Tamandua tetradactyla: one gene and its partners. The protein of the gene in region 2 purifies or fractionates together with the protein of the main gene of each other region. This does not show direct contact. Links are inferred from orthologs where the notes say so. Each region holds a gene or a part of one and is shown on either strand. Other genes may lie near its edges.

Region 1 (7,249 bases), on a different chromosome or scaffold from region 2:
TAGAAAGAGCACTGACCTGCACTCATGTCTTAGTTTTGCCACATCTTTCATATCAATAAAATTTACAATGAACTTTTATACATATTGTAGAGATCCAAGGCCCAGGCCCCCCACTCCATATTAAGAATAAGTTATTGCTCCTTTTATCTACCATATCAATAGAAGAGTAGAACATATGGAATAAAAATAAATAATAGGGGGAACAAATGTTAAAATAAATTTAGTTTGAAATGCTAGTGATAAATGAAAGCAAGGGGTAAGGGGTATGGTAGGTATAATCTTTTTTTTCTCTGTTATTATTTTATTTCTTTTTCTGTTGTCTTTTTATTTCTTTTTCTAAAGCGATGCAAATGTTCTAAGAAATGAATATGCAACTATGTGATATTAAGAATTACTGATTATATATGTAGAATGGAATGATATCTTAATGTTTTGTTTGTTCTTAATTTTTTTAAATTAATTAATTAAAAAAAGATAAAAAAAAAAAGAATAAGTTATTACATGTAGCCACCTAAAATGACCAGGACAGAATTAAAGTTCATAAGATTTCCTGGGAGTGGGGTAGGTGGAAGAAGAGTTTGAGATAAAATTTGAATAAATTAACTAAGCCTCAGTGTTTTATTCTTTTTTATTTTAAAAAATGGCAATGATGATAACAATGAGTCTAACTTATTTCAAGTAGTGGTGTTGTGAAGCCACATGCTGGTTTGAGAGAGCGGCTTGTTAAATTTTTAGGAATTTTGAGAGCTGATTATTAAGTCACTATTAAAAATTAAATTATATAAATTTACAAATGAGTATTTTACCTTATATATTAAAACTGAATTAATTATATTAAAAACAAAGGTAATAGATACTCACACTCACTGCTTCCTGGTTATTTTATTAAATTTTGCTATTATCTATGCTTGTGAAGTTATTTACATCTTTTGTATCTATATGGAAAAATATGTTTAATGGTGTGCACATCTTTTCCAACTCCATGATCAGTGATGTCACATTGATTGCTTGAGATCAACCATGGTGGGAGAATTTACAAAAAACAAGGGCTTAATTTACTACTGGCTTGACTTAAAATGATAGAAAAATATTAATAAAGCATATTAAATTTAAGTGTTTTATGTCTGTACTGTTATATTGCTACAAGCACAAAAAACTAAAGAAACATTCTTCCAGTATTAAAAACTATTATCCAGTTCAGCAAATAAGTTTCTCAAGTCACTGACAAATTAATGAAGTTGACATAAATCATTATTTCACTTTCATCTCACTGATTAATGTAAATGAATATATCAACCAACATTTACACTACACTCATCAATTGCAACCATGGTTTCATTTCATATTTGCTACCAAACTGTGATTCAAGAGTTTGACAAAAGTCAACAAAAGCATCCTGTGAGAATTAGATGTGTATTGGAAATTTGCAATGAAGAATATCGTATACTTTATTTTTTATAAATTGTGTGCTGCACATCTTTATATCAGTAAAAGTTACAATAAACTTGTATGCATATTGTAGAGACCCAGGGTGCAGGCCTTCCCCCCCTCCATATTAAGAATAGGTTACTAGGGTACACGGGTAGTTCAGTGGTTAGAATGCCCACCTTTCATGCGGGAGACCCGGGTTCGATTTCCGGACCATGCACTCCCCCCCCAAAAAATAAATAAGTTACTGCACGTAGCTGCCTACAATGACTGGGACAGAACTTAAAGTTCAGTGATCTTCGGGGGTGGAGTGGGGACGGGGGGTGTGTGGAAGAACAATGGTATTGTAAACCAAAGCACTGATCATTGTTGACAACAAATCTCCAAGCTCCTGGTTCATCAGACCCTGTTGAAACTGTTCTTATAAACCCTTGCACTCTTTGTGGAGTTCTTCCATTTCCTGACTAGCCATCACTGGGAAGAATCTTCTGCTTGTAAGTTCTAATAAAATTCACGTCTAACTCTGTGCCCGATGTGTCCTTCTGTCTTCAGGCAGCCCTGATCCAAACCCTCCAAAAGCTGGCTTGGAACATGTATATACACATACACATTTTTTTTCTGGTTAGCTAATTAATCATTTGCCAGCACATAGACACCATGGATGACCTCACTGAATGTGGCATTGGGAAGATATGGGCAATAACACACCAACTTTTCAAATGAGACTATATGAATTTTGGGGAGAAACTGTTTTAACAGTAGTAAATGGTAATGTTTGACACAACTAAAATTTCTCATTTTTAAGCACACTGGAAAATAGGATGAAACGGTGACATATGCTATAATCCTGTAACCACCAAGATTAGCTTAGTGAATAGGAAGAATAGTCCTATAGGTGTGATTTTCAGGAAACAGAGTCTTGACAATAAACATATATTAACACCTACTCTATGCCAGATGGTAATGTCAGAATGAAGAGGTGACACTGGAGATTACACAACTACTTAAAAGAAGAGCTGAGATTTGAATCCAAGCTGAACTAAAAACCTTCTGTTAGCGATTTAACTATCGCTGTTTCCTACTTTCAAATAATTACATCTTCAGTCTAAAAATATTTCCTTTCTCTGATTTACAGAGGTCTCCCTCTTTAGTGAGGCAGGGTAGCAAGTCATTAGTTAGTAGCTGCATTGCCTGACACCTGACAGATAAGGGAACTTTTCCCTGAAAGAATGGTACACTTAAGCAGGAGAGCAAATTCAAAGCATTCATTAAAATAGATTCGGTGGAGAATCAAATACAGGTCAGAGACCTATGTAAGAGTGATGAGAGAAATACTGTTGGTGGTTTCAAAGACAATACACATGACTAAACAACTAAAAAAGTGCTTATTAAAAAAAAAAAGCCTGTGATGGAAGCTTGAAATCATAAACTTTTAAATGTTATAATCGGAAGTAAATCATTTAAATCTTCCTGACCCTCCATTTCTCTGAAGTAAAATGGAACTAATAATAACTGTAGGAAGTATGTGGCAGAGGGAGCCTGAAATGGAAGGAAATACTTCTGAGAATGAATTATAATCAAACATACTGAGGACAGCAGCTGCTGCATCTAGAAGTGATGGGAAACCCCAAATAATACAAACACAAGACAAAGAATTCTAATACTGTACAAATTTAATTAAGGTAAATTCAGTATGGTTCCAGAAAAGCAGGAGCACATGAGGCAGTTTGCCAGAACTAGGGAATTAGACTTGATTTTAAAATCTACACTTATTAACTCTGTGGTGCAGAGCAAACTCCTTGATATCTTCGAGCCGTTTATTGTAGAGTGTTGTGAACATTTATTTGACAAAGATTTATTGACTACAGAGTTGGAGTAGTTAATGGGGATACAAAAAAATAAAAGGCATGATCCTTCCCTCTAATAATTTCAATACAACATAATAAATACTACAGTAACAATGATAGCAACATCTATTGAATGTTTCCTTTCTGTCAGGTATCATCAAAAGTGGTTTTCAATGCATTTAATCTTCACTTAATCCTCAAAATTTAAATCGTAGGTTGTATATAATTTCCATTTTATAGAAGAGGCTCAGAGGATCGAACAGCTATCAAGCCTTGAAACTGTGATATATCTTGACAAAGCGCAGGAACTTAAAAATTTGTGCTTGTGCGGTGTGATGGAAGCGTACGAGGCTGAAAGAGCATCTTTAGTTTACCTGCTTTGCAAAACAGAGATTAAAATATTACTAACTCTTGTGGTTGCGCCGATTACAGTGTCTTCTTAGTTCCGGATCACCTTGTAAAGCTGCTTTTAAGATAGGCTGTATTATCTTACATTGCTACCAACAAAGTAAAAGCTTTGCAGATGCTTTATGTTTTGATATATGACAGGGCCACTCTCTTTGATTCTTTTTTTTTCTTCAGTTTTTTGACTGTCTCACCTATTGTTCTTCATCTCCATCTATTCCATTTTATATCTTCTTGTCCGCAAGAAAGCAAGTTATCTGAAAAACCGCCCAAGCGCGCACCAGTAGACCCCAGATAACGCCACAACTGTTGCGCTGCGGCGTAGTCCCGAGCGCGATCGCTCAGCCGTGTTCTCGCAGTAAGAGACGTGATTTTGAACGAAAACTCTTAACTCCACCCTTCGTCCCAAAGGTCACATGACGGGCGCCTGCGTTCTAGACCCAAGGTCTTTGCTGATCATCTACTGGCTGTTAATTCAGCTACGGGGTGTCAAGAGGTCCGTTCCGGAAGTAGATCTTTTGACTGTCACTCAATGCGGAAGCGTCCCAACCTAGCTGTCGACCCCTGGCGGAAGTTCGTCACATCGCAGTTGTTTCTGCACAGCGGATGTGTGTCGCCGCTTAGGTGACGCTGGGAAGTACTTGCAGCCTCCGCCGCTGCCTTCTGGTTGAAGCACTATGGAGGGAGAGAGGAAGAACAACAACAAACGGTGGTATTTTACTCGAGAACAGCTTGAAAATAGCCCATCCCGTCGTTCTGGCCTGGACTCTGATAGAGAACTTTCTTATCGCCAGCAAGCGGCCAATCTGCTCCAGATCATGGGGCAGCGTCTTAACGTGTATCCTTTTGGACTAGGCCTTCGGCCTTAGAGTGGGTCCCGCCATGCTCCGGCATCCAGGCCTCAGTACCTGTCAGGCACGGAAGGGGGAAGAGGGTGGACAGAGGCTGGATGTCTAGGTTGGAGAGCCCACAATTGGGCAGGTTGAAATTCAGTGTTCGCGCTGGGTAGCTAGGCGGAGTTAATTTCCCGCTTTCTCACGCGTGCCGCCGACCTTGCTGGGAATTCGTATCCTTCCCGGCTTTGTGTTTTAATCAATCCTTTGTGGTCTCTCTTCAGCTATTCTGACTTCCTACTCTGACGGCTTTGAGATTTTCCTTTTCCGCTATACCTGGGTGTCTGGGAGGTTTGACTGTTTTGATGGCTGCCTCCCAAACAGGGTGTAAAGAAAGTTTTGAAAAGTTCAAAACCCGAAGGTCTTTGTAGGGTGTCCTGGAACTAATGTCTCCAACGGCTTAGGTTTAAATTCCGATCCACTCATTTACTAGCTGTTTAAATAGCCTATCGATTTCTTGGTTTACTTCTCTGTAAAATGGGTTGATAACTTGGATTTGCTTCAGAATAATGCTCGTGTTTTGTGGAATTTTTAAGGAAGAAATGATGTCGGTTTAGATTTGTAGGAGTGTATACCTAAAATCTGATGTTTTTAAAAATCATTTGAAAAATATTGGGTTCTTCTTAAGTTACGTAAGTGCTAATGTGTATTTGCTTTCATTCTCAAAGTTGAAGTAATTTTAGTGTTTTTTTCCCACTTGTTTTTGTTTGTTAGGAAATAAACTGTTTGTGTCAGAGAAAACTAATACAGGTTCCTTCTAGTCTGTGCATATGAGAAATTATTGTTAGGTTGCAGCCTCTGTGAAATACTGTGATGCTGGCCGTAATGTTTGTGCCTTAAGATGATGCTTCAGTTTGAAAGAGGTGTTCTCCTTTATTATTGCAGATAACCAATTTACATCCCAAGCGTCCAGTCAGTAATGAGTTGTCTTTTTCTTTGAAATTTTGTTTCAGCGCATTCTTAAAACTTTTTGTATCCATTTTGTTTTTAAGGTTGTTCCCAGCAGGGTACTGCATTATCTCTGTCTACCCAACATTGCTTTCTGAGGTTTTTAGAAGAAATGCATTTTAAAATATTTCCCTTCAGTGAATGATTATCAAACGATTCCAGTGTTTCTACCATGTGAGAAGGCTTCTTGGCAGAGACCAGAGGAACTGAAATGTAGCTTAGAAGTTGAGATACTGGAGAAGTATCCAGGGGCCAGATCTAGGAGGGCCTTGTAAATCACATGAAAGAAATATTGAGCTAATGGGTCACTTTTGCAGTAGGCAAGTGACGGAAGGGTTTAGATCATAAATAGTTTTGTTTATGTCTCATTTTGGTCCAGACTTCCTGAGAAACTCATTTGTTAATTCATTTTGTTTAAGACAGTGTTCAGTATCAATTGGCCATTAGTAATTTGATGCAAGAAAACAGATCTGCTCTTTAATTTGGAGAGGTAAGTGTAAGATTTTTAAGTGGTCTCTTTGGAAGGTGATAAAGGTTGTATTGTAGGGAATTGCTGCCTGCCTGTTTTTGGGCCTTAACTTGAACACTTCAGCTCACAACTGACCATCAACACTGCTATAGTATATATGCATCGATTCTACATGATTCAGTCCTTTACACAGTTTCATCGAAATGCAAGTATAATTTTTAATATGGTATTGTCCTTTTGTGAATGATTTCAAATGTTTGACTTATTCATAGAGTGTGAATTGTGATCTCTTTTATGCTATGGGGAGAGAATCTGTGAAGCAAGATATTGTTCCGGTAATGTAAGGTATTGGTAGAATGGGTGTTGGAGGAACTGTACAGGCAGTCCTTTGAATTTGTGAATTAAATATTCCTGAATTCTGCTGAGTATCCAGTCAGATTGGATCCCTCCTTCCTCTAGCCATTCCATACCTCTGATTGCAAGAAGCAAACCTTTATTAAGGGAGAAGTCAGCATTTTAGCACTAAATATAAACTATCTGATAGAGCCAGAATGAAAGGTTGTGGGTGAAGAGAGAAATTTGAAGAGGAATTACATAATGCATAGTTGTCTTGCAAGTTCTGAAAATATTTTACAGTAAGAAGTATATATATATATATATTATGATATAGATTTGGAATCTGGGAGAAAGAAATCTCGTCAGTGTGTCCACCCTATACATGTGTTAATAATACTTCCCCTTACTTTTACCTTTTAAGCTAAATCTTCCTTCCTATATATATTAAGCTTAGCCAAGATAGACACTCATTTTTCTGAGTGTCCTCCAAATTACCTTCAGGTAACTTGTTGAGTGGATATATGATTGGTAATTATCCAATACAGAGATAATCTTTTGGTTGACCTTTTCCAAAATCCAGTGATACATTTAATTTGTAATTGTTTATCCCCCCTAGGAATCTATTTTAGATGTATTTTGGAATTAGATAAAAAGTATCACCCTTTTAATAAGTTAATTCTAAGGGTTTGGTTGTGATGAATCCGAATTCCAATTTGAATGGACTTAATGAATTGTTATAACACTGATATATTTATGTCCTGTTAAGCCCCAAGGCATTTATTTTCTTAGACAAAAAAATTTTTAAGTGACGCAAACACTTAATTGGCATGTTCTAGAATTCACAAATACATAATGGGTTCTCCATTTATAAATATGTTTCAAGTATAGTATTTTAAAAGTAATAAACTTTATTATTTTAGAAC
Region 2 (7,676 bases):
CTCTATCTTAGGGAAGAGATGACTGCAAACACGTTAAAGCCCCAAAGAGACCTCACCTTTCCCAGTTTAACGAGGGGACTGAGACACTCAGCAGCAGCAGTCACTTGCCAGTTAAGACCCTTTTCTTGAGGATCTGGTTTTTCTAGTGATGAGTTAACGCTCTGAAATCCCTCTGGGTCATAACCTTCCCCTGCCACATTCTCATTTAATCCCATCTCCGTACCTGGCCCCTAACCCAAGAGCCTTCGGACTCTTACCGTGACGAAGACAACGTTGTTGGGGAAGACTGACGTGTCTGCTCCATCCAGTGGCACCTGGGGTGCTGCAATGGGACCTCGGCTGGCTGTCAGCGAGGCCGGGAAGCAGCTCCTCTTTCGGATGGTAGTGGTCCCTTCCCCACCCTCTGCCTCTGGGTCACCCTCAGAAGTCTGGGGTGGGAGACGCAGCTCCTCAGACAGGTAGTGTCGGATGTTCTGGCGGGCAGAGTGGATGAGCCGGGCATCGATATCCAGGCCCACCATGCGGGATGGGCCCCACTTGCAGGCAATGCTCAGGGTCACATGGCCCACATTGCAGCCCAGATCGAGGACGTCCCGGCCCCGAAACCACTCGGGCTTCAACACTCGAAGACGCCCATCCTCACAGGAAGGATTGCGGTACCCATAGTACTTGCAATAATTCCCATACTGGAACTTGCGCTGTTGCTTTTTGAAGCCTGCTGCAGGTAGAGGGTGGTGGTGGTGGCGGCCTCCCCCACTCCCTCGGCCCTTTTCCTTGGGACCCTGGCCTCCACCCCTGGCCCCTGCCTCCGACTTGCTGGAAGTCCTGCGACGTTTGCGGTGTCGTGAGGAGGAAGACGGGGGTGCAGGGGTAACTGAGGCAGCTGGAGGGGCTGAAAGGGAGCCCGTGGGACCCTGTAGGGCACATGGAAGGGGAGACACGACCTCATCCCTGCAGTTGATGGCCGTGTTGAGTTCATAAGGTTGGGGGGCGTCCCGGTTCTGGCCTCTATGCTGCTGTGTGGTGCCCTCCCCCTGAAGTGAAGGAGTGAGGGGGGCTGTGGGCAGCACCGAGTGGTTATCGTTCCCTCCAGGTGCCTGCTGCTGCTGCTGATGGTGCTGTCCCCGGTGTCTATGCCGCTTCCGACCAGTCTTGAGTGGCGAAGCAAGAACTACGTGGGCCTCATCAGTGCAAGTATTGAGACTGAGTGGGTCAGTAATATCTTTGGGGATGAGGATCTCCACTGGATCTCGCCCCTTGGCCGGAAGTGGGGATGACTTGGGGGTCTCCGCATTGAGTTCTCGGCTCACTTCCTCATCCAGGAGACTATTCAGGTTCAGTGGGTCAAAGATATTGCCCCCCAGCAGGAAGTTGGAGGGCAATACAGAGTCACAGTCCGAATTGACCCGCCTGCGCCTCTTGAAGGCCGGATGTTTGAAGCCCCCACCACCTCCCCCTACATTACAGCTATTTCTCCTCTTGCCCCCACCCCCACCAGGGGGCCGGTGGGGCTGGTAGCCATTTCGAGGGCGAGGAGGGGCAGGGGGGCCCAGTTCTGTTCCGCCCCCTCCCCGTCGCTCCTCCCCCACGTCCGGGGCAGCGGCTCGCCCGTGGGGGTCCGACAAGCGGGCCTCCCCTTGCGGCTGCGCCTGGGGGCCGCCCCCTCGCTGCTGCTGTTGCTGGCCGCCTCGAGGAGTGGAGGCAGCCCCGGGGTTCTCCCTGCTGGCCCCAGAAGCCGGGGTCCCCGCCGAGTGTACGCGAGGTCCCGGCCCACGCTCCGTCCCGCGGCGGAGCTCCCCGGAGGCGGCCTCTCGGTGCTGCTGCACCGTGGGGCCGCCCCCTCCGCCCGACTCATCTTTGAGCGGCGGCGGTGGGGCCGGCACCAAAAACGGCTCCTTCTCCGCCGCCATCTCGATCATTTCCTCCCCTTATTCCGTCCCAGTCGAGGGTAACGAGGGGAATCCGGGGGCTTAACCCCCCTCCCTAAGCCTGCTCCCTTCCCCCCTTTCCCGAGTGCGCGCGCAGCTCTGCTCTTCTCGCCTAGTCTCGCGCCCAAGCGCCCCCCCTTCCCTGCGCCCAAGCGCGCCCCACTCGCCCGCGAGACCAAAACAAGATGCCCGCGAGACCCAGACAACTCGAGAAATCAACCGCGCGTGCGCCGACCCCTTTCTCCTCTACCACCACCACTCGATCGCGAGCGCGCACGGCCGAAGCGCGTTCCTCTCGCCCCGGAGCTACGCATGCGCACTACGCCACCACCCTGGTTGCGCGCGCATCAGAGTACGAACCAACTTAACGGCTCCGGGGAGTTTAAATATAGCCCCCCGCTCAACCCCCCAAAAGCCCACCACCCCAAACTGACACCCTACTTCCCTTCGCGGCTATGTCCGTCCCTACTGATATCCTTTGTCTCTGCCACGCGATCCCACCCACCGTAGGCGTGGGACGGGGAGCTGGTGTGAAAAGGTCTCCTTGACACCCGACCCTTGTTCCTGAGGAATGAGTCTCAGCGGTCTCCGCCCGGCTCTAATCCCAACAACCTCCCTACCCCGCCTCTTTCCTCCCCCTAGCGGGGAGCGCCTGCGCACACCCTTTTGGGCTTGCGCGGGTAGATGCAGCACGTGCTAGGGACGACGCCCCGCCCTCCGTCTTGTGGGCGGGAACTGCTACGTCGTTTCCTCAGGTTTGGTACGCGCAACGTGCGTCAGCACGATCCGGGAGGCGTGGCCTTTTGAGGAAAGGGGCGGGCTCATGAATTATTCATGACCTGGTCTCCCACCCCCTTTGCCCACCTACTTAGAAGGGCTTCCTAAGGGGCGGAGGGGTGAGCCTTGAAGTAGAGGAAGGGAAGGAGCGGAGCGTACTGACCGTCTTCCTGTACGAGCTGTTGTCAATAAAATGCAATAGGCCATTTTAACTCACCCCCCTCGAAAATAATCTGTTGAACTGAAAAGCAAACGACAACACTAAAACAGCCGATGTTTTCCAACTTCCTCTTCTTCCGAAGTGGCCAAGCCGGTCTCTGGTTCCTTCCGCCTTCTCTGATGGTGAGCACCTGGGGACACCACGCCCTCCTCCCCGCCTCCACAGCCACGGCCGGGAGACCCCAGCCTCCGCCCACCACTTGACGCCTGCGCACGAGCCCACCACCCCGCGGACTTCGGCCCCCGGCCGCCACCGCCACCTCGCACGCAGTCCTTCCCAAGCACACGCTCGGCTTCGCGCCGGCTTATATAAAACGTATGTGGGCGAGGAAGAGCTTTCAGCCGGCTTTGGGATCCCCCTACTGTGGCCAGTGGGGAAGAGGTTATTCCACTATTCTCCTTGCCTGAAGAGTGCTTGGGGATGCTCGTCCTGTGGTGGAGAAGAGGGCAGTAGAGGCGAAAGTGGGGCTAAGGATAATCTCAAATAAAGGCGTGAACGAGACTAAAAGGCCGATTAGGAATCGAGGGAAGAAAAAACTATCTGAGGCAGAGAGAAAAGCAAGGTAGTAAAAGAAAGATGTGTCAGGAAAAATCAGGCGCTACCCCTGCCGCCCAAGGAAAAGGCGAAGCCAACGAGGATTATGGGATTTGTAGTTTTGGTGGTCGTGGTGGATTCTGTTGGAAAATGGTGGCAATAACTCAACGGCGCAAGCGCAGTAGGTGCTTCCAGCAGCGCATGCGCCTCGGCCATGTGCTCACGCCTCTGGGGGTGGGGCTTATGCTTGTCCTCGCGCCTTTTCTTCGTGGCGGGAAAACTGGATCGAGGTTGGAGGGGTTTGCAGAATCCCTGCAATTGCCCGCTCTGCTCCTCGCCTTTAGGTCCTCCTCGTTCCAGAAGGTAGCTGTCTCTTTTCTGGTTGCAGATGAAATTGCTAGGCGCCCCCGATCCTGATACCTCTTCCCTGAAGAGAAATTTTCTCCTCAGGGCGTCAGGGCGACAACTAACTCTTACCCTTTCTCCTTAGAATCTCTCACCTCAAACCCAGCCCGAACGAACGAACAAAATTAACCCGGTATAATGGCAAACTACGGTCTTAGTGGGAATGAGGATGCTGATGATACCTCGGAGGGAGCTGAGGGGCCACCTCCCGTGGTGGGATTCTTGATCGGAAAAAGAGGCTCGAAAGCCACTATTAGCTTCTGAGGGAGGTCAAGGACATTTGACTGGGTGCGGTCCCTTAGAGAAATTGGTGAGGGAAGAGAGAGGGAAAATGCGGACGCCAGAGCTTTTCTCTTTGGTTTTAAAGGTGGAGTTAGGTGTTTATTGTGCCACACGTCGTGAGGGAAAAAGTGGGTTAGCATCTGGGAGTTCGACACAAAAATACTGGTTTGGAGTCGGTAACAGTTCGGGGCACGTCCGGAAGCCTTTTGGGGTATGGATGGTAAAATGAAGGAGACCAGCAGGCCCCAAGGAGAAGATTCTGTGTCTTGATAAATGGCCGTAACTTTGCACCTCCTTGCACTCCCTGAATTAAGAAGCTTCAGTTCACCGTTTATTTAGGAGTCTGAACTAGGTTTAGTTCAGGGAGCTGCTACTGGCTGTTAGGTCCAAGAGTAAATGTCTTGTGAAGTGGGGTAATAAGGGCAGTAAGGTGAGCTGGAATCTTTGTCGTTGGGTTTTCTTCTTTCTTTTTAAAAGGTTCACTTTAAATCGTGCTTGCTGAGCCCACGCATTCACACACATGTTGCACACAGTCACATACACTCAGAAGAAAGAGAAAAGAAAAGCTAGTATCTGTTCATCGTGGCTGGAAAATAAGCAGTAGTACACCTGTGGTTAGACATGCGCATCCAAAGGAAATCAGACTTAAGAGAAATTTTAAATGCAGTTGTTGTTTGAGGCTCTTGGAGTCTGTGTTAGAGGACAGTTCTAAAGGGTTGACTTTTGTTCTATTAGACCAAGGATTCACGGAATAATATCAGGAGGGAGAAATTCATGAGCACATTCTAAAGGGGGCTGGGGAGGTGGGTAGGGACCAGGAGACAGAAGGATTAATGTTTTAGGGAAATATGGGCAAGACTGAATGCAGTTGTTTAGTTAGATCAGTGCTAAGACGTTTTGATCTCTGAATCCTTTGATATTCTTCAAATTAGCGAGAACGCCAAAGATTTATGAGATTTATACCTATTGATGTTAACATATTAGACATTAAAGCAGAAAAAGTTAAAATATTTATTAATTTTGAAATAACAGTAATAAACCCATTACATGTTTACTCCTAAGTGACATTTCATTTTATTTTGGGGGGCAGAGGGGGTGGTGGTGCATGGGGTGAGAATCGAACGTGGGTGTCCCACATGCAGGCGAGCATTCTGCCACTGAACCAGCCCTGTGCCCCTGAGTAACGTTTTAAATGAAAATTTTATTTTCCAAAACAAAAAAAAACAGCATGAAGAATAGCATTGTTTAAATTTTTGCAAATCTCTTTCATGTCTGGCTAAATAGAAGGCAGTGGGATTCTCATGTTTCTGAATCCAATTTGTTGTGATATCTTGTTTTGGTTGAAGTATGTGAAGAAAATCCAGCCTAACACCGATAGGTAGTTGGAAAAAGGAGGACCTTGTGCATCTACTGAAAGAGACTTAGGGACCTCCAGGGGTCTTTGGCCCACAATTTGAGAACCACTAAACTAGGCGATTTCACCTCAGAGTGAATGTGTTGATTTTTAGTGTTCTAAGTGAAAGAAAACTTTCTGTTTTTTTTTTTGGAGAGCCTCATTCACCTTCCCTTGGTTCTCTTTATTATTTCTAAGTACTTTCTTTTCTCCTCCTTATTCACTCTTCTTTCTTATCTTGAGTAGGTCTGATTGAGTTTATTGACCTATCCTGGTTCCTTTACTTTTTTACTTTAAACCCTGTTGGACTTTTTTTTTTTTCCCCTCCCCTTCTCTCTCCTTTTCATAAGGTAGGAAAAGAAATTAAAATCTCAAATGTTATTCCTGCGTCTACAGCCCCCCACTCATTTAGTAGTTGGTCAAATGACAGTTGGTGGCATTTTACATATTTATTAACCATATATGGTATTTTTTCCCCTTTCTCAGAACTAGCTTCCAATATTCATTTTTGTGGAAGAAGATAATTCGTCTCTAACAGAGGAGTCGTGAGTGACTTGAGTTGTTAGGAAGTGATTTTCTGGCTTTCGGTTCTCTATTGATCAGGTTAGAGCTTTTCTTTAAAAGTAATGTTCCTCATCATATTCCCACACTACATTATAGGGAAGATATAGACTTACTATGTCTTATTAACTCAACCAGTGATCCACAATTTTATCTAGTTGGTTGGGGCTCCAAAAACACACTTGGCCTGTAATAGCTCTTATAGGTTTCGATCAGGATTTAAGTTTAACTATTGGAAAATTTTGCATTTTTAGGTTGATGAAAATACTCTTTTTATCTCATTTAAAGAATTAAAAATAAAAAAAATCATTTTAAGCGGTAATATGTATGTTATAAAATTCCAAAGATGCACAGAAGACTACATTGAAAAGGAAGTCTCCCTTTCACCTCTGCCCTCAATCATCCAGTTTCACTCCTCCGAGGCACTTTTATCAGGTCCTTATGTATTTTTCTAGACATAGTTTGTGAATATACAAGCATATTATGTAGAAATACATTTAAAAAATTAAATGTTATCTCGTACTTTTTTTTTTTTTTTTTTTGCCTCGAATAGCTCTCCTTATAATTCAGTTTTCCTTCACGGGGGCTTCTTAGGATCCTTTTTTGGAATTCTGGAGTCCAGGAGAAGATATGCTTGTCATTTGTGGTCAAATGAATATTCCTTTTGCAGCCTAACTTTATCTGGTTTCTAGCTTTTGTTTAGGATTAAAATAAAGGAGACCAATTTGCTGCAGTGTTTCTCCCCCAAATTCCCACTTGTCTTTTTTTCCTGGAGCATATACTTTTGGAGGTTGATAGTGATGAATTAAGATGGAAATTGTGAGAAAATTTGCTCTTTAATGTAAAGGAAAAGTTGCTATGCAATAGCACATCTGAATTATTCACATTTATAGACGTAAGAAAACAGACATAAAATGCCAAAGCTTAATTTAGACATACTTTGCATTTAGCCATGCTGTGGCCACATTTTGTCAAGTCTATATAAAACACCTTTTGAGTTCATCTTGGGATCTAAAGGGAGGAATCCTACACCTTGAACAATCCAGTGTTCATTCTAGCACGGCCATTTCAGGGTCCTAAAATTCTCAGATCCTTTAAAGGGAAGTGTATATGAACACAAGGATCCATCTTAAGCTGCTTTGGGATCTCTTTATAAGGGGAGAGTTACAAGAGTGAGTTTCAGGTGTAGTGCTTTCAAAATGCTCAAAACCAGCAGTCAGAAAGGCGTTCACTGAAAAGGATATAGATATGTTATTAGTAGGATTTAGAGACAAAAAGCCTGAATTCATCTTGGCTCTACCATGTATTAACACTGAGACTTTGGGGAAACTTCTTAACCTCTCTTTGCGTATTTTTTATCTGTAAAAAGATGAGATGAACTTTATGAGTTCTAAAGGCCCTTGTGGAACTTTTATGCTTGTTTTAATTGTTTCAAAAATAAGAACGGTTTAAATGCTTTGAGTCTAAAAAAGCAAAAAACACATAGAAGGGCTATAATAAGTTTAGTTTGATAAAACAAAAAAACATTTACTTTCTAACAGCTGGGTAGAAATAAGTGGAAATTTAAAAAATATGT
Region 3 (7,551 bases), on a different chromosome or scaffold from region 2:
ACCACAAAAAATGCATAATTCTTTAAGACAAAGTAAAATAGCACGGTCAAACTGCCAAAGCAAACACAATAAATGGTACTCCACTAGTGGCTTAAATCAAATCTGTTTTCTCCATAGAAAAATGTGCATTAAAAAAAGAGAAAATACAACAATATGGAAAATATTCAACCACAAAAGCAATGCCAATTAAACCACAAGATAGCAATTTTCCTTAATTGAAACTATTTGTGGAATAATGATTTCTGATGATAATAACCACTGCTTATAATGATCTCTTAAAGCAATGTAGCAAGACGAGTCATAAATACTTTTTCCCTCAGTCCAAAACTAGATATTTAACATGCTAAGATTTTAGATACTAAATTTTGAAGTAAACTATATAAAACTATTATTCATAATGCCTAGCTAATTATAAAAACACAAAAACTACTGAAAACAGGTAAAAGGGAAAAGTAAATTGTTAAATATTCAGTGACTAGACTGATTTATTCATTATACACGATAATCATAAGGACTGCTTAATGAAATGAAGAAACATTAGTGAAAGACATTTCTAAGAAGAGTAAACAGAAATTGAATTAGCTCACCAACATGACTGAAACTAACCAGCTTTTAAAAAAAAAGACAAATGGATACAATGACTGAAAGAAAAGTCAACCTAATGCTGTGGTTCAAAAACATAAATACAGAAAGTCTTTAATTTATCTTCCCATCTTTCTTTATTTATTGCCTGCTTTAGATCAAAACATAAAACAAAAGTTACCAATTGTTAAAATATCTTACCTATCCACTTAGCTGTACAAAAGTCTTTAGCATAATTCCTAGACCTGACCTTTTTACACAGGAAACTCTACCTTGTAAATATATCATCAACAGTACCACCATCCCCACTGGCACCACTGTGGTGTTTTATTCCTTGACCTATATCTCTAAAGCAGCAGTCAGTCAACTTTTCCTTTGAAAGGACAGGTGGTATTTTAGGTTTTTAGCCCTTCTCTGCCATTCAATATCTGTGGCAATTACTCAAATCTGGTATAACAGTGTCAATGAATATAGAGGCCACACATAAATGAATGGGCATGGATGTATACCAATATTTTACTTACAAAAAAGCAATGTATCAGAGAGTTTGCAGACCCTTTGCTCTAAAGTGATACTAATAACTAGCACTGTTTAGGTAGATGAGCCATGGAGACTAAAACAAATTCTGATCATCAAAAAAATTAGACAGTCCTCCTTGCAGATTATAATATATGATTTAAATAATATTACACTAATTTAACAGGCGATGTGAATGAATGTAACTGAGGAACGAAAAAGTATCTGAGTGTGCCATATGCTCCAGCCAATTTCACTTCTAGGTACATACCCAAGAAAATTGAAGATATTTGTATATCAATGTTCACAGAAACCTTACTCACAATAGCCAACAGTTAGAAGCAAACCTGTATCTGTCAACATGTGAAAAGATAAATAAAATGTGGTATACATATAAAATGTAGTATTATTCCACCATAAAAAGCAATGAAGATCTAATACATACTACAGCATGTATTAGAAACTTTAAGACATCACGTTGTGTGAAAGAAGCTAGACACAAAAAAATAAAATAAATAAATAAGGTATACTTTCACTTACATGACATACCTTATTAAGCAAATTTACTGAATGGTGAGTAAATTAGGCTACAAGGAGCTAGGTGAGGGGAAATAGGGAGTTACTGCTTAATGGGTCCAAAGTCTGTTTTGGGTAAAGAGAAAGTTGTGGGAATGGATGGTGGTGATGGTAGCATGATGTTTAGAAAGGAATAGTTATCACTGACTTATTCACATGAAAGTGGATAAAATGAGAAATTTTGTGTTGTATGTTTCCACAACAAAATTTTTTTTAAAATGTCTATCTATACCAATGCACTGAAAAAAGCCCTTACTCTGAGGAACAGGTGGACAATTATCAAAAACCATTATCTCCTTGCAACCCAAGTCCATGAAATTACTGGAAAATATTATGGAAAAGAATCAGCAAGGCAGGACTATCCATGCTAGAAAATTTGTTTGTCTCCTTAAATTTAAAACTATTAAGTGGTGGCCAGAAACAGGGCCAAATAATTGTAGCATATCAAAAACAAAAAAGTAGTTTATCAAAAACAAAAAGAAAAAGTCTTGAAAATCACTAACCCCTACCTTCCCTTCTCCCATTTTCTTCTATTAAACCCTATGGAATAAGAACATTCTAATAAAAGAGAATTACAAAGGAAAAAAACAAAGCACTTTACTAATCTCAAATTTTGAGTAACTCTTTCCTAATAATGTAAGCAATCAACATAAAAAGACAGACTGTAAATAAATCTACATCACATTGAAAAATCATAGATAGTATTTTATTACATTGTCTGCTGATGGAAATACATTGGTGAAGAGAGAAAGTAATAAAAAGACAAAACAATAAACAGGGACTAATTAGTAAATAAGCATGGAAACATATTAAGCTTCTCTAAAATTCATTGCTAATGAATGTGAAATATATTTATAACTCAGCAAGCATAAATGATATTGTAATTAAAATCAATGCTTGTGAGAAGTGTATTGTGATTGGTACTCTCACAATTTTTAAAACTATGATACTAATATAGTATTTCATAATGTAAGTTAGAACCTGTACCATAAGTTCATATAACCTGATCCAATTTATTTTCACAACTGCATATATGAATAAATGATCTTATCTAAATGCAAAGCTCTTCACTGGCGATTTTTTAAAACTATCAGCAGAAAAAAAATGAAGTCGCCCACAAAAGGGAATCATAAAATATTCACTAGCAAGATATTCAAAAAAAAACCACTTCTAATAAAATATTTAATTTAATATTAACTTAATAATCAATACAGCAAAAATAAAGGTAAAACTACACAAAAAATACTCATGTACTATAAAGACTACTGGGCAATAGAGAAAAATGACAAAAGTATCAGGGCAGGAATATTAGGGCCTGATTTTACTTTTCAAACATTCTGCAATGAGCATAATTATGATATGAAATTTTTTAGGAAAAAGAATCTTTTTTCTTTTCTTTTACCTTTCCCAGACAATACAGAGAACCCCAAATATCCTATTCTTTAATGGTTTAGTTATACCTTATATCATTACTACATCAGCTCTAACCTGGGTTTCACTTGAATCAGCTCTCTCGATGTTCCAATAGTGCTTTAACCACCTCTTGGTGTCTCAGCTAAGAATGCCTGTCTCAGTTCAGCCTGGAAATCCACCACAGGTACTTGCTGCTGCTGGGATCGCCTCTGGTACAACTGACACCTGGACAAGAGCAGGTTATATACATATTCATAAGTGATAGGGAGATAAGTATCTATATGGATGACATTAAGAAAGAAAAAAATAGAGACCCTTACATTTAAGGAAATCCTAATTTAGGGTCAGAGATTTCCATTACCTTTTTCTTTTTACTGCATGGGCAGGCACCGGGAATTGAACCTGGAAACCCGGGTCTCCAGCATGGCAGGCAAGAACTGTGCCTGCTAAACCACCATGGCCTGCCCTCTATTACTTTTTGAAGAAACTATAAAACAGGAAACAGGTAGGAGCCTGAACAAGACGATGGTCAAGGAACTAAGGGATAAACCCAGGGAACTACAAAACCAAGACCTGCTTTAGGCTTATAAAGTCTCATAAGAACATCATAGGTACCACAACCATCATTCACTTTTGCTTTCTAAACGTCTTATCTGGGAACATCCTTTATCACCTGATTGAGGGGTATCTGTTTGTTTGTTTTCAGGGAGCAGTAAATAAGCTATTCTCTGTAAACCATTAAGGATATTATCCATGCTGAACCTCCTGAGAAGTTACTGCCTAAAATAAAGAACTGCCAGGGTCAAGGTTGTTTAACAGCTCTCAAACTATGTAAGGCAACCATCTACTAGTAAAGCAGGGAATCCCAGAGAAAATTTCTTAACATATTTCCTATCTGGCTTCAATTTCATCTTGTGGTTAGGTAGATGTGAAGAAAGTTACAAATTGTGTTGGCTAATGAGAAAAGCCTGAAAACAGTCATCAGAATACTACATCATATCCCTCACCCCACTATGATTCTTCAAACATTCATTAAAGGGTACAACAGACTACTATTTGTAACTAGTGGGAACAAAAATCACATTGAAAATAGAAAGTCTTCTAAAATTTTAATATTTGTATTTCCAAAAGTCAGGGATTAACTAAAATTACAAAAAGGCTTACATAAATGATGGAAACTGTCTTTGTTATATAAGGGACTCAATTACATCTGTGATAATCTAACAATTTATAGAAAACCAGGTACAAGTCAGAACCACTACAAATTGTAGGATTATTACTAAATTATAGTTATTTTCTCCAAAGTACAAAAACAATTTTTTGTTGCTGATCTTTTCTTCTATCTTGTCCCACCTCTGATACAATATAAAGGAGGTAATATGCCCTTCCCTAATATCTTTCCAGTCAACTGTGATATTACTGTAAGAAACCTTACAGTCCCTGTTACGGTCGATTGACTTGTATCTTTAAGTGCAGATAAGGACCTACCTATCCCAAGAACAAGAACCAATAAAGTACACCGAACAGAATTTTCTCCTTTTGAACACATCCATCTCGAAATAAAGCAAACTAAATTAATACATGGGATTTTTAATACATGAAGCTAGGCTTCTTCTTCAGGGCTCTAGTCACCTTATGTGTCTATACAAAACATGAACTGACCTTGAATGACAGCTATGTGCAAGGGAGACAGAAATGGTCCTGCGCCAAGAGACCGTGCTATGGCAGAAGGCAGAAGGAGATGCAAACACAATAACAATTTGAAAAAATCATCTGCTAACAACTACATTTCCCAAATTTCTCAAGCCATGATTTTAAAATATTTTTCTAATTCCTAGAAAGGACATTTTAATCTTCAATACAATTAAACAACAATACATTTACCAAAATATTTAATCTGATAGTTCAACAGTAAGAAAAGTAAAAAAAAACTGGAAATATGTATCTAACAGGAAAATTGATTTTTATTTTTTAAATCCTTCATTTTATATATATATAGAAAACATCCAAGAAAACAATTGACAAAGGCATAACTTACATTGGAGGAAAACAGAAATAGTATTAAACCAAGTACATACAGGAGAAATATCATAAAGGTATGCTTTATCAACACAAAAATCAAATTAGTAAAATAAACAATTTAATAATATCTGGTCCTGATGTCATTAAAATTATTAGGAAAACACTATACCACTTAAAAGTATGCAGCAAGGGCCACAAAATATTTTAATTGAGCCAATAACTGAATCTGAAATAAATCAGATATTATACACATAAACACACAGAAGTTGGCCTCTAAATATAGGGAATTCTGGCCTTAATGAGATTACAATACTGTATTAAAAAGGCACTGCTTTAAAAGTCTTTCTTTAATGATAAAACATAATATACATGAAACTATTCAGAAGCAGCTGGGTGTGGAAATGGGACTTGGATAATAAATTTTTCCAATTTTCTCTGTAGTTTATCTTTTCACATTTTACTCTATTTAAAACATCACATTCCAATCACTGTATTTTTAAGTCTTTATTTGGGCATTCTCAGTTCTACTTCCTTTGTTATCAAATGGCAATTAAATCTCTGACCTAACATGGCTCTAAAAAGCGTTTCAGATAAAACAATATGTTCCCTGAAACTTGACTTAAAAGACTATTTCCTATTGCAATTTCCCATTTGGGTTCAAGCTGCAATCCAAAAGACTAAGTGAAATCTAAGTAAGATGCAGCCTATATAGTATTTATGTCCTACAATGCAGAATATGAATTTGGAATGAGATTCAGAGGAGTGTAGATTCAGAAGCCTCCAAGCTCTAAATTTACAAGACGTCAAGAAACAGGAAAGAAACTGCAGCACCAAAGAACAAGAGCCTATTTGGTGATATATCTACTGAAAACAGAGCAACCATCATTTCCAGGAGAATAGATTGAACTTCTAATTCATATTCACTATTGATTGGGGAGATATTTTGTTGTGTCTTGGTTTGGCTTTTATTTCTTCAATTTTGCTTTGGGTTTTTTGGAAGGAATGAAAACTTGTTATAGATCCTTTAAAGCTAGTACCCACACAATTCCTCCAGGAAGACTGACATCCAATAATTAAAGTTTGGGAGAGGGTGCAAGATTGATGGATAACAATTAAAACACACAGCCATAACCATGAAGAGTCACCAAGAGATTCCTGAGCATATATATTAGGCAGGGTTTAGAGACTATCAATCCCAATTACTCATCCACAGATTATACAGATGGGAAAATTACACTACTTCCCTAACTCAGGTCATACTCACTCTTGGTTGCTCAATGAGGCTGTCCTTCTACGTTTGACTTGGACTTCTATCTCTGGCACGTGCTGTTCTGTAGTCCGTCTCAGGTGTAAGCGGTCCCTGAAATAGAAAAACAGGGATTTGTTTGCTAGAATTCATCAATTTATGAAACGATAATTTACTTAATTATACTTAGAACAATAATATATTCTAAATGTTTAAAGTGTTTGCAATCTAATTAAACACAAGACAAAATTTCAAAGGTCTTAATCAATTTACCAGGCAGGATCTGTCCTAAACCACTTTCTTTATCCCTTTAGTAGCCCTTTCACAGCACAACATACATACATGTAATATCACACTCCCCTACCAAGTATGCAATAGCTATTTCCAAAGATGGTTTAGAAAAAAAATATTATTTTAAAAATATATACATTTGTATTGTATGATATAAGCATAAAGTTTAATTTACTGAAGCAACCTCCTATGCAAGTGTTGCTTTGCTAGGATTTACAAAAGAAAATGGCTGCTCCAAGAGACTGAGAATGAAATCTTTCCCCTGGGTTTTCCACATTAGGAAGGAATTGCAGGATCTACTAATAAAACTGCAAACTAAAAATGCTAATCCAGGCAGATATGAAAAAATGGCATTTTGCAAAATGTCATGTAGCATAATAATTCAAAGGCAGAATTCAAAGGATATATTCTAAAAGCAAATTCTCTGAATCCTAGCTATTTTTTTAAAAAACTAAAATATAAGTCAGTTATTACTCTAGTTATTACTGACTGAAAAATCAAAGTAACTCAAATGGCTTAACTACCCTATGTTGTTTAACTGCTTCAAGAACTTCAAATATTTATATAAGTCATATGTAATAGATCTTTAAATGATAAAATTATATACATTGCTAATTTGTGACCTTGGATTATGCAACGGATTCTTAAATGACACACAAAGCACAAGAAACTGGAGAAAAATAGATAAATCTGACTTCTCAAAGTAAAGAAAAAATTTTCCCTCAAAGGACACTGTTAAGTGAAAAGACAATGGCAGAACTGGAGAAAATATTTGTGCATCATAGGATTAGATCCATTTCAAGAGTTTATGATCCAGAATATGTGAAGAATTATTATAACAAAAATAAAAAACAACCTAATTTAAAAGAAGGTAAACTATCTTGAATAGACATTTCTCCAGATCT
Region 4 (7,864 bases), on a different chromosome or scaffold from region 2:
GTCTGCCTTGTACATACACGTGTCCAGGTTCACAAGAGTTTGATCTTCTTCTTCATCTTTTGCCTCTTCTTCGGCTGGTGGTGGAGACTTTGAGCTATACATATGAGAGAAAAGCAAATACAATGTAACCAAAGCCCTCTTCTTTGAGGGGTGTCTGCATGACATCATGTTCATTTTGAACTATCAATAATTATAAAATCCCAGCAGACAGCTTTTTTTCAACAATGAGAGAAGGCAACAGGAGCTTCAATTTCGTAAAATCAATCTAAAATTTATGCCTATAAAAACCTATTCCATTTTTAATCCACCCCTCCTTCCAGACTCTCTAATCAACATCAGGTATAGCGATATCAGAGCAGACACTCCCTTCAATGAAAGGGACTGTTTCCCTCACCGGCTGTGGTAAGCCTCCTCTCGGAATTCATAGTAAGCTCGGCCATGTTCATCCTTCTCATCCCGCTGTCTCTTTACCCCCCGCCGCTCACCATCTGAGCCTGCTGGTTTTGACTTTTCACTATCTTGGTCATCTCCTACAAAAAGGAGGGAAAGAAAATCAGCAGCTTTCAAACTGGAGAGTAGAATAAGCTCAGAACCAATAAAAACTAAAGGAGGGGGTTTGAATATTTCAAAATAAAAAGTTGGAAAAAAAAAACCCACAAAAACTAGAAGGGGGATCTGATTATGTGTCTAATCAGAATAGCCAGGTTATTCCCACTGCACATACAGAACATTTTATTTCCAAAGATCATCTTCCTGTCATTGGCTGGGATTTTATTTAAAATATAAAATAGAACACATTGGACATTATGCGCTAATTACAGCAAGCGTAGATAAAAACTGGACAATTTTTGCATTCTAAATTTAACTGCTTAAATCAGGTCAAACGTGCAGATTTTCCCATCAACATGACATAAAAGTCTTTTTTTAAAAAAGTTACAGGTTAATTTAATTTTGACTGACTGTCAAATTTAAACTAGGCATTTAATATATATTTTTCAATACTTCCCCACAGCTCCATGAAAATAGAAACACCTAATGCTTTAAAAGTTTGCCTTTCAATTTTTAAAATGCATAGCCATGGTTATGCAGCAAATGGACTCAAGTGCATGGTACAAAGCAGCATTTTTTATCGTGGATCTTTACTGAAAGTTGCAAAAGGAAACCATTAAGTCACAAGAGACCCATAAATAATACTGCATCCCTCTGCACAAAATTTGGGGCAGAAAGGTGTTGTATATTTAGCAACATTCTTTATAAGAAGAAAACACCTGGAATTTTTCCTACTGCACAAAATTTGGGGCAGAAAGGTGTTGTATATTTAGCAACATTCTTTATAAGAAGAAAACACCTGGAATTTTCCCTTAGGTTTTTGTATTTTACGACACTAAAAAAGTTTTTAATAATTGATTAAAAGCACTGCTTTAGTCCTCAACATTTTTTATCTGCTATCTGGGATACACATAAGTCAGAGGTTATGTAATGGGGTTTTCGTTCCAGGACATACGACAAACAACCTGCAAGTTGCAAGTGATTGTTGTAGAGTGGATTCCAATTATACAATACTCAGGAGTAACCCCCTAAAAATGTATTGTAAGAAGAACTAAGGCAACCCACTTAATTTTAAGACTCTAGTTTTCCTTCCTTACTCTGACAGAAACTGATATGGATGGATCAGCCCTAATCATGAAATCACTTCAAAACTAGGGAGAAAGGTCACAAACGCCCTGGGGTGACTCCACTACCGAATTCTCTTCTACAGGGTTACTCAAGGGACCCACCAGCACCTCAATCATTTCAATTCCGGAAGTCAGGGGCCTGAAATTTAAGAGCTCGGGCAAGTGTACAGCAGATCTACAAATATGCCCATCCAGTGAATCAGTGGGAAGATGAACATTGAAAAAATAACAATGCAAGCAAGGAAAATACCTTAGCCAAGCAAAGTGAACTAACATATTCTCAATGTACCAAGTTAATACTTTCTCTTCAGTAGTTAACTATTAAACCCAAACACTTTCAGACTAGAAGCTCTCTCTGCTGCTCAAGCAGGAGCAAGATTGGATTTCCCCGATTCTCTGGGTGGCTCAACCTCTAGTAACGGGCTTTTGGTGGACAGGGCTTTGACTGATTTAGTGTATTGCTTGATATTTTTACGGGGAAAAGGAAGCCCCCAAACCTAAATAGCCAGATAGCCCAAAGACCTAAGCCTCCAACTGTCGGTCTGGCTGTCCGTGTCACCAATTTCTCATCGCTCAAGGCTTTGGAAAACATAACCAGAACCGCGGGAGACCGCTCCACAGGTAGCTCACAAGCAGTTCGCATGCAAAAATCACTCTCTGCCATCCACCACCGTCAAAGAAACAAGTTAGGTAGGAATCTCCCTCCTGTTGAGAGCAGGGCCACCAGAGGCAGCCAAAATCTCTCAGAACGGCGGGTAGAGGATGAAAGTCACCTCCCCTGGGAAGTCCCAGCAAAAGGCGACTGGAATCTTGTACTTTCAGGCAAGTAAGAACAAGAGATCGGATCCCGCCACGCAGGGCGCGGTGCGGGTTCACGGGCGCACGGGGCAGCTCGGAGCCGGGCTCCGCTGCCAGCTCCTCACCCTGTTCCTCCGCGGCCTTGTCACCCGGCGCCTCGGATCCCGGCGTCTCGTCCCCGCTCCGCTCCTCGGGTTCGTCTTCCTCCCCTTTGCTGGTGCCCTGCTCTTCGCCACCATTTACCCCACCTGACCCTGCCGTGGCCTCCGCCGGCTTCTCGGAAGCTTCGGGCTCGGCCGCGGCCTCCATGGCTGCGGCCTCCATGGCTGCCTCCTCCGGGGGCTCCGGCGGCGGCTGCGCGGCCTGACCCGAGGCCTTGGCAGGGGGTGGTTCTTCGTCCTCGTCCTCAAGCAGCGCCTCCTCGTCCTCCTCGTCCTCCTCCTCGTCCTCCTCCTCCTCTTCGTCCTCCTCCTCGTCTCCACCCGGGCCGCCGCCCGACGCGGCCACAGGCCGAGGCTCCGCCTTGCAGGCCCCACCGGGCCCGGCCCCGCCACCGCCAGTCTCGTCCTCGAGCATCTCGGCGTCCAGCGCCTCCTGCAGCCGCTGCGCCAGATCCACCTTGAGGCCGCGCGAGTCCAGGCCCCGCCGCTGCAGCTCCGACCGCAGCTCGGTCACTTTCAGCCGCTTCACCTCCATCGCCGCCGCCGCCTCCTCCGCCTCCCGCCGCCTCCTCCCCTGCGAACCGTCGACCGAACCCGACCGCGCAGGCGCTGCCGCCGCCCGCCTCCGCCTCACGCGCCAGCACTGAGCCCGCGCGAGCGAGCGAGCGCACGCACGCAGCGCAGGCCGCGCGCAACCTCCGCTACGTCGTGTTGGCCTCGCCTTCCCTCCCCCTCCCCCCCTCGCCCCACCGAGCTCCAAACAACGCGATGGGGAGCTCCTTCCCTTCTTCCCGCCCCTCGCTGTCCCCTACCGCGGCCACGCCCCTCCCTCCTCCTCCCGCTCCCTTCACCTCGCTGCCCGTGGTTTTACTGCGCAGCCGCGCCGGAGCCTGAGACTGGAAGGGTTGACTGCGGCTCAAGTGCTTCGTAGCACGGAAGCGCTTGCGCGCCCGTCTCTCCGTACTTCCAGCCGAGGGCTCTGCGCAGCCTCCCGGAGTCCCTGGTCATACGCCCCTCCCTCCCTCTCACTGCCCTTACTCCCGTCTGACTTCCATTTGCAGCCCTGCACTGTCGTTTTAGAGCTTGCTCGTGTGTCTGGTTCTTCCCCAGTGTTTATGCATGCAGCAGCTTCTTAAGAGTGGAACAAAGTATCGTTCTCCACTTGCTAAAGAAAAAGCTATAAGGGAAGTTTGTTTTTCTAATTATTAAACTAAAAGGGCGCTACAGAACCAAGCAGTACAGAAACCCCTGAGCCTCCTCTTCTTTCAAGGCCTCGACTTCTGCCTAGCAGCAAACACCCTGGCCCCGCCTTTCTTCTCTCCTATTGGCCTGCTTGAATCGTCATCTTTAGTTCTGATTGGTCAGCCGTGGGCCTGGGTTTTCCCAATTGGTGGAGCTGCCGGGGGACTTTTTCGGGTTGGTCCGTAGGGGGAGGCTTGAGAGGCGGGGTCGTCTCGGCGGATTACTTTTCCGGGGCCGCTTCTGATTGGGCGCCGAGGCGCAATGCGCGCGACTCTTGCGACAGGAAACTGTCCGGGGACTAACTCGTTCCTCGCCGTGCTCCCGGCCAGTCAACTGAAGTCCAAGAGCAGACTTTCGGGCTTGGGTCTTAGCAGAGGACGAGGCGCTGGCCGCGAAGCGTGCTGGGCTGGCGACTGAGGTGCACTGCGGCCGGCCTAGCCTTGGGCCGGGTGTCGGTTGGCACCGGCCTCATTCACCGTCGCTTGCTCAGCTCAGAGCCCAGGCACCAACAGATGACTGTACTGGCAGATAAAGGACTGGGAGGGAGGAAAATCCCCTCTGCTTTTTTATTTTTAGCAGTTGTCTCCGCCTACTCCCTTCCACTTCCAGGTCAGGGAGGTGTGTCCAAAACAAAGGAGGACGCAAATTCAATTGGTTTTCACACTCCTTAGGGCCTGTGCTTTTGAGGGGGAAATCTCCTCGATTGCAGATCACCCTGTTTAGGGAATCACTTCATCTTTGGCTTTCTTACTCCCACATCCTCTCCCTAAATAGTTTCCCGCATTTGTGGGGCTTGAGAAAATCTGCAGAGAGGAGAGGAAAGGGCTGCAGTAGAAACTAGGCAAAGGTCCCCTCCCGGGGCCTGGTGGGCGGGGTGAGGGGGCTGCCTGAATAAGGGTAATTTCCTGGCTTCTTAAATCGGGAGCTAAAATCAGTTACTTTCCTCCCATCCCCAGAGCCTTCAGTTGCTCTTTCGCTTTCCAATTCCCCAGGAGTCCAGGGCGACGAGGAATTATGGAGAAGCGGCTGCAGGAGGCTCAGCTGTACAAGGAGGAGGGAAACCAGCGCTACCGGGAAGGAAAGTACCGAGATGCCGTGAGTAGGTACCATCGAGCCCTGCTTCAGTTGCGGGGTCTGGATCCGAGTCTGCCCTCCCCGATACCTGATCTGGGACCTCAGGGCCCGACCCTCACACCTGAACAAGAAAGCATCCTGCAGAGCACCCAAACAGACTGCTACAACAATCTAGCTGGTAAGAAGAGGGCTGGAGAATGGTTGCAGAGTATCCGCACACTGTCAGGCACGTGAAACTCTGTTAACGTCGGGAACAACAGTGACATGCTTTTTTTTGCACTGTCACCCAATGATTCTGGCGTGAGTTTGAAACTTATTTCCGATCCGTTAGGGCTCTGATTAGTTTCTTTAGAGCAGGGCTTCTCAAACTTCATCTAGAGAGTTGATTAAAACATAAGGGCAGAGATTCCCATTTAGTGGGTGTGAGGCTGGTCTTGTGAATTTGTTTCTAAAAAGCTTCCAGATGATGCTGGTGGGCCTTCGACCCTACAGTAACTAAGCTTTAGAGAATTTTGAGTGCTCTGGAGAAAATACCAAATTTATGCTAGGGCTTTGTTTCTCTAAGGAAAATTTGATATTTGGGAAAGAAGCCACTTCAGTTGGTGGTGTAAGCCATCTGTTTTCGGTAACTTTTTTTCGTTTTCCTCCTTCCCATAAATCAGCTAGATGGTAACTTGAATTACTGGTAACTTCTATCTCTCTTTTTTTCTTTTGGGGTGCATGGTCCAGGAATCGAACCTGGGTCTCTCGCATGAAGGCGAGCATTCTACCATTGAAACTTCTATCTCTTTTAAATCAGTAAAACTGTTATATTAGAGAAATAGCTTTTCACAGATTCCCAGATAGGTGTTGGCTTGCCTGTAATGTCTTAAGGACCCTTGGGGGCACTTTTGTTTGAGGCTTTGCAATACTGAGACAATTTGTGAAATGTGGCTGAGACCTGCCTAAGAGTAACCTCCAGAATGACCTCTGTACTGTGTTTGAAGTCTCTTAGCCATACAGTTCTATTTTATTTAAATTTCCGCCTTTTGATCCAGGTCCTTCTCCAAAAGCATTGCTGATTAACACTTGGTAATAATCCCTTAGCACCAGGGAGGCTTATCCCTGGGAGTCATGTCCCCTGTAGGTGGATGGTAAAGTATAATATTTACAGGAGAGAGGCCAGACTTGCAAAGCATTTTTAAAAATGTGCCTGTTATATATTCCTCCCACTTAGGGACTAGGATGCAGGTTCTATTTAATCAGCAGGTTGTCTCTGGTTCCTCTTATTCCCCATTCCTGGCTGTGTGCCTGGGCATGGTCAATGATCATAATTAGCTGTGAAATGAATAAAGCGAGGGTGATGGATTAGTTGACCACTAGGGAAATAGCTAAGTACAAACCATGTGACCACTTGGTGGGGATGTTGTGGTAGGGATACAAATATAAGTCCAGGCCCTTGATTGTTCTTATCAGCCCTGCTTCTCAATCTTCTCAGCCCCATGATTAAGTAATACTGTAATTTCAAATAGAAAATACATTTCCCTTCTTAATACAAGGGAAGAACATTGTCTTGAACATTGCCACCTAAGCAGTTTTGTATTTCGAGGTCCCATTAAATCATCCGAGGGGAGAGCGAAGCAATATATCAACATTGAGAATGATGGTGATCTTGAAGTTAGAGAGTCCTTGGTTCAAATTTCAGACTCTACCTAGAAGCTGTGGGAGCTTGAACAAGTTTCTTTAACTCTCCGAGCCTCAGATTTTTATCCTTTAAGTGGAGATGGAAATGTTGCTTCCTATTGCAACGGAGCTCGAAGGATATTAAGGAATGATGAGAAAAAAAAGAAAGGAAGAAAGAGAAAGACACAAATGGGCTCAGGGGGTCTGAAGCTTGAGTTTACTTCAGACAGACTTCAGACAGTTTTATTCTTAACCAGATCCTGGTTATATACCATAGGATGTCAATAGGCATGCATGCATTTCCTGAGGGAGCAAAGTTCTTATCTTTCAGTGTTCTTCATACTTAACATAACCATTTGGGGTAAACATTCTCTTCCTCCCAGACTGCTCTACATAACAGTCTCCACAGTTTACTGCCGCCATCCTGAAGCCAGCTGCTTCCAACAAATTCTGCAGGTCTTGTTTTAAACCCTTGGCTTCTACATGGAAACACATATTTTATAGGGTTGAGCAGTGAATAAGGTAGTACTTGCCAAGCACAAAGCACAGTGCTTGCTTATTTTCTCACACAGTTAATGGCGCCTGTTGCTAGCAGAGCTGCAGTACAAGAACTGTGGCGAAATGGGGGATTCAGGCCAAAGAGGCTTGGGAACAATAGACACAATGAGCGTTTTAAATACATTTTAAAGAGCATTCTGGCCTGTTTTATAGCTGCGCCTAACATAACGCTAGGTATGTAGTATGCATCCGGTAAATATTGAAGCAGACGTAAGGAATGGAAAGCTTCTATTCGCTGCTGCGTTCCCAGTGCCTAGAAGTATGCTGGCACATGATAGACACACTCCAGTGTTTGTTGCATGAGTGAATGCTGTTGGTATCATCCTATGTTGGGTATGGCCTTGAGCTGTTTGGTGGAATTTAGTATAATGAGGCCTTCCTTCCTCTTCTCTCATTTTTCATTTGGCTCCATTAGCCTGCCTCCTTCAAATGGAGCCAGTGAACTATGAACGAGTGAAAGAATACAGTCAGAAAGTCCTGGAACGACGGCCTGATAATGCCAAGGCCTTGTACCGGGCTGGAGTGGCTTTTTACCACCTGCAGGACTATGACCAGGCGCGGCACTACCTCACAGCTGCCAGCAACAGACAGCCAAAAGGTAAGAGAGAAGGGGCCCGACGTAGAAAGGACAATATAAAATTGTCCTTGGTTCAAATTTCAGATTCGACCTAGAAGCTGTGGGATCTTGGACAA

Evidence for each region.
Region 1: the proteins of MEPCE (region 2) and CCNT1 purify together in Homo sapiens (affinity purification with mass spectrometry; 3 studies listed by BioGRID and IntAct, with this or other methods). This does not show direct contact. The link is inferred for Tamandua tetradactyla from reciprocal best matches to the Homo sapiens genes MEPCE and CCNT1.
Region 3: the proteins of MEPCE (region 2) and SNRPN purify together in Homo sapiens (affinity purification with mass spectrometry; 3 studies listed by BioGRID and IntAct, counting the BioPlex papers as one, with this or other methods). This does not show direct contact. The link is inferred for Tamandua tetradactyla from reciprocal best matches to the Homo sapiens genes MEPCE and SNRPN.
Region 4: the proteins of MEPCE (region 2) and HNRNPUL2 purify together in Homo sapiens (affinity purification with mass spectrometry; 3 studies listed by BioGRID and IntAct, with this or other methods). This does not show direct contact. The link is inferred for Tamandua tetradactyla from reciprocal best matches to the Homo sapiens genes MEPCE and HNRNPUL2.

What each region holds. Positions count from the first base shown.
Region 1 is NC_135333.1:109,630,184-109,637,432, reverse strand, and holds the start of CCNT1 (cyclin-T1), read left to right. Parts: upstream 1-4,106; 5' UTR 4,107-4,357; coding exon 4,358-4,518; intron 4,519-6,113; coding exon 6,114-6,195; intron 6,196-7,249. UniProt on the Homo sapiens protein: Regulatory subunit of the cyclin-dependent kinase pair (CDK9/cyclin-T1) complex, also called positive transcription elongation factor B (P-TEFb), which facilitates the transition from abortive to productive elongation by phosphorylating the CTD (C-terminal domain) of the large subunit of RNA polymerase II (RNA Pol II).
Region 2 is NC_135349.1:8,541,830-8,549,505, reverse strand, and holds the start of MEPCE (7SK snRNA methylphosphate capping enzyme), read right to left. Parts: upstream 3,138-7,676; 5' UTR 1,920-3,137; coding exon 258-1,919; intron 1-257. UniProt on the Homo sapiens protein: S-adenosyl-L-methionine-dependent methyltransferase that adds a methylphosphate cap at the 5'-end of 7SK snRNA (7SK RNA), leading to stabilize it.
Region 3 is NC_135338.1:78,877,235-78,884,785, forward strand, and holds the start of SNRPN (small nuclear ribonucleoprotein-associated protein N), read right to left. Parts: upstream 3,207-7,551; 5' UTR 3,163-3,206; intron 1-3,162. Other genes in the region: SNURF protein, read right to left, coding at 3,207-3,312, 6,374-6,469.
Region 4 is NC_135335.1:11,864,487-11,872,350, reverse strand, and holds the start of HNRNPUL2 (heterogeneous nuclear ribonucleoprotein U-like protein 2), read right to left. Parts: upstream 3,228-7,864; 5' UTR 3,171-3,227; coding exon 2,600-3,170; intron 531-2,599; coding exon 395-530; intron 95-394; coding exon 18-94; intron 1-17. Other genes in the region: TTC9C (tetratricopeptide repeat protein 9C), read left to right, coding at 4,892-5,129, 7,587-7,769.